Drosophila melanogaster: one gene and its partner. The protein of the gene in region 2 purifies or fractionates together with the protein of the main gene of each other region. This does not show direct contact. Each region holds a gene or a part of one and is shown on either strand. Other genes may lie near its edges.

Region 1 (8,158 bases), 5.4 Mb from region 2:
TATGATACTGATACTTAATTTAGAGCTCACCTTCCTTTTCTTGCTCTGTTCGTTTTCATCCAGCGATGAGGTGGATTGCACGTACTCGTTAATATCAAAGAGCGGCTCGTTATCGTTTGGACCTGTGTCATCATCCAGGAGAGGTCCAGTTTTGAGATTATAAATGTTTGGCAGCTGGAACACCTTTTCCCGGTTCACCATATTGACCTGTGATGGATAAAACGATACTATATGCATATTTCTGTCAAATTCGAGATTTCTAGCAGATAGCACACCTTCATGTGAAGGCATTGTAGCACCACGCATTCCCCGCTAAGGACAAAATAGACATAGCTCATGGTACCCAAGTCTTCGGTGTAGATCGTCTCCAAGGGCTCGAATTGCTGAATTGTTCCATACTTACTGGCATTTACAATCTTACAAACAAGTTATATTATAATTTCTTTTTATCTACTATTATACTTACCTGTTCTTCGTTGAGAAAGTCAAAATAGTCAAGGGCCCGCAGAGCATCCTTCTTTTCCTGCCACATCTTTTGCATAAACGGTAGAAGAACAATTTTATAGTTCGTATTGAATATAGCCAGGAGTTCGCAATAAGCTGAAAGAATCAAATGCGATTAGGTGTCAAGAAACAAACGAATCGATTTACTTGTGGCGATATAAGTGTTGGTTCTGGGTGTATCTTCCATCACGTCAATATCACCAATGCAATCCCCGGGTCCAAAAATGGCCTCCGTTTGTACGGTAGGACGACTGGAGCCCTAAGAAATATACCATTTTTCAAATAAAAAAGCATATATATTTAATAAGGCATAATTGAAAAATTGTAGCTATAACTATGCAAAGCATATTAGAAAGTATTATATATAATTTGAATAGTTTACCTTTTTATATATGTTCTTAGACATTTCCACCTCACCGGCGATTATAAAATAAATGGTTACGGGAAAATCCTCCTCCTTCATAACAATACGCCCGGGAGATATTGCCATGAATTTGACAATCGGAACAAGACGGGCGCGGACTTTCTAAAAGGGGTAACAGGTCGGATAAGTAATATTATACATATGTACAAATGATCAGCGCGCTACTCACTGGCGGAAATTTTGAAAAGCAAGCCAGATTTGCCACAATGGTGCAGAGCTTTTTCCTCTCATCGACGGAACGCTTAGCATGTGGAGTGCGCAGCAGCGATTTCTCCTGCAATTAAGCAAACACAAAAAGGAATAAACTCTTGAGCTAGCCTTGATATGAAAGAAGAGGTTCGTTGGACTTACGGCCATGGTCATCATGCCCACTTTGCGCTTCTGTCGCAGCATGGCAACGTTCTTCTTCACATTCAGCGATATTCCACCCTCCTCGGGCAGCTCACTTAGCCACTGCATATTCAGTATCACGGATCGGATGAGCTTCTTAAACCGAATCTTGGCTATTTTCTTTCCAGCGCCATCGTGAACATCGCGTTGGCGCTTGGACATGATTATGCCTTCTAAATCCCACTGATGTCGAACTGTTCAGTTCAGAGTATTGTGTCCATATAATAGTATTCGAATGACAAAGATTCGGGCTGCCGCCTGCTGTCTAAATAAGCTTGAAAATATGAAAATATATAAACTTAATTTTACCCCATTTCAGATTTTGACGGCTAACGGTTTTCGTGCGCACAAAAAACATGTGTTATTTTCAAAGTGTTTAAATCATCTTTTGTAATTTCAACACATATTAGCTTTTCATTTAAGAAATGTACATTCAAATGCTGAATAAATATTATTTGCGTTTGTTTTTTCTTTAAAATATTATATCTTAAATTGGCTTATCGTTTATAATCGATTTCTTATTCGAGCTGTACTCTCTGGCGCTATCTTGACGCACATACATTCGTCCGATAAGTTGGGTGTGTGGTATATTTCGATGATTCACTACGTTCACACTGCGCACAATTGAATTCTGTGGCTATCGGTACGGAAGAAATTTTAGTTCGTTTTAAATATGCAATTGTTATGAATAACACAAGTTGAGCAAATAAAAGACGGCAATTCCCAGCAGCGCGATTTGTTTTTTTAGCTCGGTGCTGCAGTGCAATGTAAAGTATATAGAGGAAAATATTTACACATGCGCATTAACCGATTAATGTTCTGTGTAAATGGTTTTATTTTTTTTTTTTTTGTATTTTTTGTTACCCATATGAGAGAGAATTAAATGGTTGTGCTAATGATTCATTTACAAAGGAATCACAAACCGAACACAGCCCAGAAATTGTGAATCAAATGGGCAGTAATTACCCCGCTTGAGAGGAGTATGATAAAGACGGCGACGGTGATGACGATGTTGATGATGATGAGATGGTGTTGATGATGATGATGATATGATGACTCTTCGGGTCGTGTATGTATGAAGAAAAGAACCGAATGAATTTTTTTGTGTTCGGCTCGTTTGGCAAAAAGGGCTTAGCCTAAAGTTTGTGTGTGGTGTGCGGCTCATATAAATCGCTTGTGTTTTAGATAGATGTTGATGTACAAGAGGGTGCAGCATATTCCTATATATATACCAATGTACATAAAGTATATATACGGTGTTACAATTCATAAGTAACTTGTACTTTCATACAACTCGAAATATCCTAAAAATGTCTGCGCATATGTAAGAAAGTCAGTCGCCCGGCGATTTCAAAGAGCAATATGTACATATGTACAGTGGCTCACAGCTTAATTCGTCCAGAGGTAAATGTTTATTTAATAATTCGATGAAAAACCGTTTAAAATATCAAAGAAATGGAATAGACAATTTTCCTTATCCATACACATTGAAAACGTATAGAATCAATATACAGATTCTAAGATGAAAATCTTTATAGAAGAAACAACTTAAAGATCTTAAAGTTGTATGGTTTTTTGTTGTCTAAGCTGTGGGTTCACTACACTCCTATATTACTGACTGAAACAATCACAATTGATTTGTTATCTGTAAAAGTAAACAAAGCGCAAACAGCTGATGGATGTGCTGTCCATCTTATCTTTCATTTAGTTTACTGCGAAGTCTACGTCGTTAATTGCTTTTAAATATGGTTTTGGATATAAAGTAGCATTGTCTCTATATTCTAATTAATAAACCCGGTTTCTGGTGCTGGTTGTAATCGGTTGTAATAGCGCCTATTAGTAAATTTCTTGTTTTACCAATAGGCTTAGGTTTAATCGTATTTAGTGTAGGTGTGATGTATTCTTGCCCCACAATTTTGCATACGTTGTTAAATTATTTGTTAGATCCTCAACTTTCGTAACATTGGACCCGAATTTTGTTTTGGACACTTATAGCGAATCTATTCCAATTTGTTTTTGTGAGATTACCACCACCGATATGGCAAAGAAAATGATTTCACGGTAAGCCCCGAATTCCGAATTATTTTCCATTATCTATATTTAATAGCATTAGAAAGCGGAAACTAGAACTAACAAATCTCTCGGGGCGTTTTTAGTGAATGGTTTTAGACATATCTTGGTTTAGTTAAGCATTTGATTCTATTAGTGACTCTCTAATCTGATTTCTGATTTTTATCAAATATGATTTTCGTATTGTAATCAAAGTAAGGCAGCTAAGTGTTTTTATCTGGTCTTCTTACAGTTTAGCACGGAAAACCCCACACAGTCACAAAAGTTAACGTATCTCCTCAGTTAAACGCATTCTTATCATTGCTATATGTGGCTTTTATTAAATCGAATTCCACTCGAAGTTAAATATAGACTAAGACTCGCATTTGCTGAACAGAGATCATAAGCCTAACAATGGCGGACCTAATACATTTGGGAAACATTGATGTTGTCATCCAGAAAGATAAGCCCGGATCGCCAACGGGCTGTTCGGATGATGGGAATCTTGCGGGGCTGGGTGGCATGACCGGATTGGGTGGCATAATGGCACCTGGCGGCATCGACTTGGGTGACTTGGCTCAGGAATTGGATCACGATGAATTCGATGGACCACATATGCTGAATGGTAAGTAAAGTTACATGCCCATACATTGTAGTTCGATCGATAACTAATTTTCCTTGCAAACTCCAAACGCAGGTGAACGTCCAGCGATTATTGCTCCTCCGGAAAGCGAATGGTACCATGGACGACTCGATCGCTACTCTGCAGAGTCTCGCCTACGCGGAAGCAGTAAACTGGGCAGCTATTTAGGTGTGTATAAGATGGTATTCGAAGGTGAGAAAGTATTACTAAATAAATACCTTTGTGTTCTTTTTTTAATGCTGAGCAGTTCGCGAAAGTGACCGCAAACCTGGCTCCTATGTTCTGAGTTATTATGGCCGCACCGGCATAAATCATTTTCGGTAAGTAATAGGTTAAGATACCCATTAAATGCCATTGTTTTGAATGATTTTTTATATATGTATGTTGTATCGTTAACATAGGATTACAGCTGTGTGCGGAGACTTCTATATCGGAGGACGACAATTCATTTCCTTAAGCGACTTGGTTGGTTACTATACCTCATGTAGTGATCTACTGAAACGCGAACGCTTGGCCATACCAGTTGCTCCGCCGGAGCCAGTTAATGATAAGAAACGCGTCGTAGCCATCCTGCCTTACACAAAAATGCCAGAGACCGATGAACTGAGTTTCCAGAAAGGTGATATCTTTTTTGTACACAATGACATGGGCGATGGCTGGTTGTGGGTGACTGCCCATCGTACGGGCGAGCAGGGAATGATATTCAGAGAACTTGTTGACGATCTGGATGTATCTATCGATCCAAATACGGTGTTTCCCTGGTTCCATCCCAACTGCACCAAAAACGAAGCCGTCGATATGTTGGTTAAAGGTGTGTATTATTAGTTTAAGGTACCTACAAGTAAGGAAAGCAAGCTTTCCCGAGATTCACGAGATGAATCCTTAGAATTTTGAGCTTCTTCTAGTGACGCCTACAATCGATATTTTCGACTTTTCTCTGTTGCTATATGTATGTAATTGAAACACATTTTTTCATCCTAACAGCTGGACCAGGAAGTTTCCTCGTTCGCCCAAGTGACAACTCACCGGGGGATTACTCTCTATTCTTTCATATAAACAATCAAATCCAACGCTTTCGTATTGAAAAGAAAGGCGTGCGCTATTTAATGGGCGGTCGTACATTCGAATGCTTGGATGCGGTTATAAATCGATATCGCAAAGAGCAAATTGTGGAGGGCCACTCACTGAACCATCCAGTTGTCAATGGCATTCAGCCCGAGTTCAATCAGCAATATGTTGTGGAAAAGGCCGCTGAAAAGATCTACGCAACATTGCGCGAGTGTCGTGACCAAATCGGTCTCAAAAAGATCAAGGGAATCAAACATCACGGCCATTTGAACAAGAAGTCGGACAAAACGACGAAATGGAAGCAACTCTATTTCGCTTTAATCAACGATGGTTCCGAGACGCAACTATGCTTCTACGACAATCCGAAGAAGACCAAACCGAAGGGTCTGATCGATTTGTCCTGTGCTTACCTCTATCAATGTCACGATTCGCTGTGGGAGCGTCCCTATTGCTTCCAAATTGTCGAAAGGGCCCTGCCATGCTTGGCCACAGTGACGTATCTGTGTGCTCCTAGTCAGGAAAGCTACGTGGAGTGGATTAATTCGCTCAAGGCACAATGCGATTCCCAGCTGAGTCGTGCCCAGAAGAAGGTATCACGCCTTCGTGAGCTTCGTTGTCTTAATCTGCATGTGCTGGAAGCTCATCGATTACCATTTAAACTAGTGCCACATCCATACTGCAGTATTTCCCTCAATCAAGTCAAAGTGGGCAAAACTCGTGTCAAAATTGCACCCGAACCCGTTTGGGAAGAGGAGTTTGTGCTAGAGTAAGTCTACCATTCCTTCGCCTATTTGATAACTTATCGAATAATATATGTTTGTAACTTGCTTGCTTGCAGCGATGTTCCGCCAGATGTTGTCTCCCTAACCATAACATTAATATCGCGCGGCAAACGCGGTAAGGACTCCGAAGTGGCTGAGCTAACCATTGACTTGTCTAGTCTAAAGAATGGCCAGGAAACCGAGGGCTGGTACCAACTCACTGGCATGACGCCGATGGGTGAATGGGGCTCGCTACGATTGCGTATGCGCTACCTCGACGATCTGATAATGCCGTGTGAAGAGTACAGTCCTCTGCAGCAATTGCTCCTCGAATCGGAGCTGTATGCTGTGAAGGCGCTGGCTGAATTGTGCCATAATGATCGGGTTCCTTTGGCCACGGCTCTGTTGCGAGTCTTTAGGCAGGAGAAACGGGAAACGGAACTAATTCGAATGCTGTGCCAAGCGGAGGTGACGCGCGAAAACGAAACCACAACGCTTTTCCGTGGCGCATCCTTGGCCACCACCCTAATGGATCTATATATGCGCACCGAATGCAGCGGCTTCCTGCAATCGGCCGTCAGCGAAACCGTGCAGCGCATTTTGGAGAGCAAGCAGTCGGCTGAATTGAATCCCACGAAAATGGACGTCAACGATGATGCCTGTACGAATGCCGAGTTTCTATTGCAAATCCTCGATCTGGTCACCCAGTCGATATTCACTTCACCGGACGCCTGTCCACGCAACGTGCGTTTCATTTGCAGCTGTCTTCAGAAGGCTGTGATGGCCAAATGGCCGACAGAGCGGCTCGTTCGCACACGCGTCGTCTCTGGCTTTATATTCTTGCGCCTTCTGTGCCCAGCGCTGCTCAATCCACGCCAATTTGGATTGGTCAGCGAGACGCCACCGATGGCAGCAACACGATCTTTGGTCATGGTCGCCAAGTGTCTGCAGAATCTGGCCAACTTGATTGAATTCGGCGGCAAGGTGCGTATCGATTCGACTCAGTTATGTGATTACCAAAATAAATTCGATTTCTTTTTCATTTTTAGGAACAATACATGGAGGTTGTCAATCCGTTTATCTTGAAGAACAAGGAGCGTATGATTGTTTTCTTGGATCAACTGTCCTCGGTGAACGATCCGAACCAACCGCTTGGAATGTTTGTCGAACAAAGTACAAATCTGAATTCACAAGACACTGGTAATTATTTGTCAGCTCATGTTTTCTATTTGGCGCTGTTATATTATTAAATATACAATGATTTCTTTTATAATTCCTGCAGGACGCGAGCTGGCTACCTTGCATCACATCTGCGTATCTCATTCGCAAGAACTGCACGAGCTATCCAACATACTTTCAATTAAGAAGCTGGTCACAGTGACGGACATGCTGACCAAACACAAGCTGAAGTATCGCGAGATGATCAGCTAAAATCAATTGCGAGGAGAGCGGATAATAAAAAAAAGCGATGTCTTCTTATCTACAAGTCCCTTCATACCTTTTTATAAAAATATTTATATGTGTATACTATTAGAATACATAAAATAAGAACTCAAAATAACTGGTTGAATTGTATTGGAATAGTAAACAGCATCTCATTTATAAAATTATTTATATGGAAATGAAATAATATTTAACAGACCGGTATGCATTTATTTATTATTATTATTACAAATTAAAAATAACCTATAATACACTAGCTTACACGGATTACTCCGTATAGCCGCAAACTCAGATATTCAAAATGGTTTTGCTTTCGATATTGTTTAAAATTTATTAGTGCATTACCAACGTCAAATGGCAGTTGGCGTCCAAATGCACGGCATTTATCCAAAAGTCAATACATTTTTTTTTGAAATAACGCATAAAATCGAAATAAATTAAAGAATTCAAAAAGAGTGCAAAAGACTTCCTCTGAAAACATACACTGTGTTTTTGAATGGCTCCCTTTCGGTTTCTTGCAGCTGAAAAATGTTTTTTTTTCGAATTTCTTCGCACTTAAAGGCGTTGCAATGGGCATGGAAAAGTCAATAGTCAGCTGAATTTAATATAAATACATATATTCTTCAAAGGAAACAACAGTTTTGCGTTTATATTTGCAGTTTCGCATCTGATTTCTTATTTTAAGTGTATAAAATCATATTCAAAGAAAAAAAAAACTACCTGATTCGTTTTATATATATATTTAGTATCTATAAAATATTACATATTTATTTTTTAGATTTACATTTATTTACGCCCCTTCCCCTTGCGACCCTTCGAACCCTTTTCGCGCCTCTTCTTTGCATCCATTGACCGCTTGTCCTTCTTCTCGCGCGG
Region 2 (5,037 bases):
TATTTATTTACCATTTTTTTTTTTTTTTAATTTTTGAGATGGTCAAGATCGCAGGTGAAGGAATAATAACTATCAGAGGGTAATGTGACTTCGAGACCAGCCCTTTTCTTCGGTTTCTTGCTGAATTGTGCACGGCAAAAACAATTACAATTTCGCAAACAAAGATAATTTGCGAATGAGATCGACGACACGACACAATGGCACTTTACAACAACAAGAAGAACAACACGACAAATGGGGCGGGTATGGGGGTCTGTCAAGAAAACCTGAATTTCGAAATGGAAGGGCTAAAAAAAAGGTGAAAAATCAGAAATCAGAAGCTTCTTTCCAATTCCAGAAGTCAAAACGCTAATCGGTAATCGACAATTGCTTATCGGTCATCGACAGTTTTCGCGTTTTCAAATTGTTTGTGGCTGGCAATACAAGGTGAATTGTAAAAAAAAAAAATTAATAAGTGCGAGCAAAAAATGCGATCACATAGCAAACAAAGCTGCAAATCAAGCGAAACAAACACGTCGCCCTCTTAACAAGATATAACCGGGTTAAGCACAATAATATATCTTTTAATATAAATACTTATTCATATACGATAGTAAAACTGATAAAAGATAATTTTCAAGAGAATCTGTTAAGATTGTGAACCAAAGTCTGTGCATTCAATTTCCAGCTAAAACCAAACAACGAAAGACAAAAAGAACAGATTGCTAATTAAAATTTATGGGTGTCATAATTTTCCGACAATTAAAAGTCTCATTTTACAGCAAGAAATATTGATTTGGTCAGCAGTACCATGTGAAAAAATATTACTGATATATTGCAAAACAACCATTTTAGATTTCCATGTGCCATAGCTTTGGCTTTCAGCTATAACTTGTTTTAAACAATATAAGCTTATTTTGCATTACACGTTTAATTAAATTGGGACAGCATAAATTTTTGATAATTACAAGCACCTTTTCCAAAATCGAAAGTAAATCAGCACCTGCCGTTTAATAATTCACTTTGGTGAGCAATATTTATTTTTTGCCAACTCCGCGCTTTTTTAAAGAAAATTTTGTAACCGTAAAACACCAATATAACAATCCATTGCATTCATAGTAATTTCCATTTTAAAACATTGTTAATTTACGGAAAGAATAGTTTAGGAAACTTTTAATACAGTAAGTTGACTTAGTAGCAGAAGAATAAACTTTAATATTAAATATTTCTTTAACAAAGTTAAAAACTTTGCTATCTTCCTTACAACCTATGTTAACCACAGTGACAACAATGATCTATGAGTAAGCGTAAAGTTTGCTTAATACATTATATTATAGTTTTGATATTATACTTTCATAAATTAGTATGGTTGGGTAAATGGTTGTAATTAATATATTGAAAAATGTAAGATCTTATGACTGACATGTGACCACAATAGAGTTAAGTTTAAGTTCTTTTTTAATATAGTTTAACTATTAAGCTATTACTCCATGGTTTCATATATCTTGTGGAGTAAAGTGCTGTTAACATGTTCTGTAAACATATGATACAACTTTCCTTAACTCTTCGACCATTGTGCTGTTAAGTTAAAAATACCTCTTAATATACTTTTATTATTGATAAATAGTTTAGATTCATATACATATCTTGTGGCGCAAAGAACTTTTAACATTATCCATCAACTGAATGGAGAGTTTTCAGTAGGAGTGTGACCACTGTGCGCCATCGTTTCGCATCTCGTAATTTTGCTTGTGTTGTTGCTGTTGTTGTTGCTGCTGCTATTATCGCAGCGAGTTGTTGCTGCCGGCGACGATCTTCGTTTTGTCGGCGGCTTCAGTTCAGTTCAGTTTAGTTCGAGTTCGCACTCGGCCACAAACGGTCGGTCGGTCGGTCGGTTGTTCGTTCGTTCGTTCGCTGAAGGAGAATTGTGGAGAAGAAATTGAACCCGTAATCTTCGGAATCCGTAAAGCCGTAGTCCCGTAGTCGTAAGGCGATCGCGAGAATTGAAATTGTGCTGCAACTCAAGTAAAATAATATTGTGTCGCACAAGATCACTGCGTGTCGCGCTCAATTAAATACACATCTTTTTTTTTATATTTTTCCCCCGGTCTTTATTTATTTTTTTTTGTTTAATTTTTTTTATTTGCGCTACAACGTTGTTATTTATATTTAATTGTTTTGTAACAACAACAACAACAGCAGCCGAGTTAAGTGCGAAAAGTGAAGTGAAGTTTGTCGGCGAGTGAGTGCGAGTGCGCACAAAAATTGGAGCAGGTTCCAGAGATCTTGAGATCTTCAGAACTAGAGATTCCCAGTTCCTAGGCTCCCGGGTTGCGACTTTTGGCGGCATTGGCGTTCCCCTGGTAATTTAATTGAAAGTGATGATCGTAGCCCATCCATAAAGCCACTTACCGGTAGTTCCCCCATCCTTTCACAAGTTCAAGTTCACCGACCACGCGGACTCCTTTTTTCGCTCTTCCACCCGCTCTCTCTTCTCACTCTATCTCTCTTGATCGCTTGCCCTTCTTTCACTCGAAGAAAATACAGTGCACACTCGAGATGGTGAATTTGGATTGGCCATTAATTGCTCCCAGTTTGGGTTATCATACTAAATCTTTGTACAATATCTTTGGAAAAAGATTAAAACCTAACTTTAAATAAATAGTAATAATTACTGCTGTACAACTATTCTTTTTTTTTTCTGAGTGAAAAGCTCTTTTGTCTTTCTCGCCAAAAGTGCGTTGGATTTCTTTACATTGTGCCTGGTTCTCTTCGGTTTACACACTCGGTACATTGCACCCTTGGTCCCTGTTTCCTTTAGTGTCGTCTTTCGCTTTCAATGCATTTTGACAGTGGATTGCTAATCGGCCAGGTATTCGCAGGCCACCTTATAGCACCTACCATATATACCCATCGTACATCTACATACCATTCATACATACAATCGCATTCGCATTCGTATATTCGCATTCGCATTCCTGTCGCCGTTGTCATTTCCTCACCTCATCGGGCACCGCCCTCTTGCTTTCACGCACCTGATGATAAACGGCTCAAATTTTGATAATGTGTACGGATTGTGCTGCAAATTGCTCAAATGGCTAATCAGCTGTTGCTAGCACATATGTATAACCCCCTATACTCCATATCTTTCCAATGAAATCGGCGGGAAATTGGCTTTGTCTCGAGTCTTATCGCATGCCAAAAAAAAAAAACGAAAAATCAAAAGGCAAAAACCCAAAACTTAAGTCTGAGCTCCAAGTCTAAACCAAAACCGCAACATCATCTCAATATTTCCTTAACCACAAGTGCACAGAGCAAACAAGGTCTACTATTACTATTGACTAATTAGGCATTCTTAAGATATAAAAATATATAAATAGAGCAAAATGGTATAACAATTATAATCTATATTATCTAACATAATATCCAAAACCGTGGTGTGCGTGAAACGTGCCCTAATTTTCGCTCTGTGTGCGTGCATCAGCGGATTGCTGATAAGTGGAGAATGTTTATTGTCATTACCTGTGTCCCACTACCTGTACATTCCCCTACCCTGCGGTACTACCCCTCCGGTCGATATGGTATTCCTCATGCAATTTGCGGTTGTCACAGCTATTAGGTTTAGATAGTCCACTGTAGCGGTCTTATCAATGGGTTGCTTTCGCTGGTCAGTCAGTCAGCCAGGTATCTCTGTACGTACGTATGTTTGCCATGCCAGTATTATGATAGCGATCGTCAGTGGTTTACTTCGCTAATGATCCTCGTCGCTCAGCATGGGAACATCGCATCTGTATATGCCCACTAATCCCACTCGTATATTTTGGCTTTTTTGGCTTATCGCGATGGTCATTTAAATACACGTAGGAATCGTTGCGATCCCATCATATACATACAAACGTATGTGCCCAGATATTTTTGGGATACCATTTCCTTTCTTCGGGCTCTTTCCAGTTAATATCTTTTTAGTAGTTCTTAGAATTAATTTATCATATCATATCACTCACTGAACTAACTAATTTGTCCACTTAATGGATACAACTCATGATTATCAAGTGATCTCTGTGAATACCAATTCATTGACTGATAGATGATCACACTCAAATAAAATCGCTATAATTTCCGATGATTATTGACTATGCTTATAAGTCCTTAGCCCTACTGAATGATCTCAGCTAAATTCCCCACCAAACTTTTCTCACCCACACACGAAATGCCGCAATGTCGAGTTAAAATTATTCGATGGCAAGAAAAAAAAAACAGAGATTAAATAACAAAATACCAAAAAAAAAAAAAATTGCCAAAAAAGTCAGCTTTGACTAATGCGCTGCATTGGCGGTGCGATCATTTTTTGGCGATCACTTTTTAGCACCAGTTGAGCTACCATGTGGGCGCAGCGGCAGCCAAAATAGTTGGCCAAGAGTCTCGAGGTCTGAAAGTCGCACTCTTGTTTTTGTTTCGACTTTGTTTTGCTTTCGGCTATCAACAGCTAACCGCTGCGCCCAACTGTTCCAATAGAAAGCCAGTTAACAGCGATACGCTCCGGTTTTCTGTCTTCTCTCTGTTTTTATTATTGGGAAGGGAGATCGAGATCGTTGGATGGGAATCGATCAGTTGATTCGCGGTTCGTAAGTGTCTAAATATAGATTTCGACCATATTTGCTGGCAAATATTGGCCATGAGTGTGCGGCGGGCTGAACCTGCCTCAATTCAAGTGGCACAGTATCTGTATCTGGGCTCCTATATCTTTATACATATCTTTGTACATATATATGAGTATTTGCGAGTGAGTGCACGTGTTTTTGTGGCAGACGGCAGATCGGGCAACATGTCACCCCACGCGACATGCCACATACTACATACTACATACTACACATGCTACATGCAACATGCCACATTTCTCCATCAGAGTTGTTCGCTTCTTTTCATTTTTCGCGTCGGCATTCCCAGCGATCTGATGTCGACTACCAAGCTCGAGCTCCCTTAATAAGTCTTAATCTATATGTCAATATTTTCTTGTTTAGTTTCCAAACACAGACAGACACACACGGCCGTGTTGGA

The links.
Region 1: the proteins of spri (region 2) and vap purify together in Drosophila melanogaster (affinity purification with western blotting; one study listed by BioGRID). This does not show direct contact.

Annotation. Positions count from the first base shown.
Region 1 is NC_004354.4:15,999,549-16,007,706, reverse strand, and holds vap (vacuolar peduncle), read left to right. Parts: upstream 1-1,894; 5' UTR 1,895-2,722; intron 2,723-3,262; exon of another isoform or gene 3,263-3,379; intron 3,380-3,620; 5' UTR 3,621-3,781; coding exon 3,782-3,992; intron 3,993-4,064; coding exon 4,065-4,178; intron 4,179-4,257; coding exon 4,258-4,330; intron 4,331-4,411; coding exon 4,412-4,821; intron 4,822-4,994; coding exon 4,995-5,844; intron 5,845-5,916; coding exon 5,917-6,823; intron 6,824-6,888; coding exon 6,889-7,039; intron 7,040-7,121; coding exon 7,122-7,270; 3' UTR 7,271-7,756; downstream 7,757-8,158. Other genes in the region: CG12698 (uncharacterized protein), read right to left, coding at 31-207, 276-416, 467-600, 652-763, 887-1,030, 1,098-1,202, 1,280-1,480; CG8939 (uncharacterized protein), read right to left, coding at 8,069-8,158.
Region 2 is NC_004354.4:10,582,215-10,587,251, reverse strand, and holds the start of spri (sprint), read left to right. Parts: upstream 1-1,829; 5' UTR 1,830-2,342; intron 2,343-5,037. UniProt on the Drosophila melanogaster protein: Potential Ras effector protein. May function as a guanine nucleotide exchange (GEF), by exchanging bound GDP for free GTP.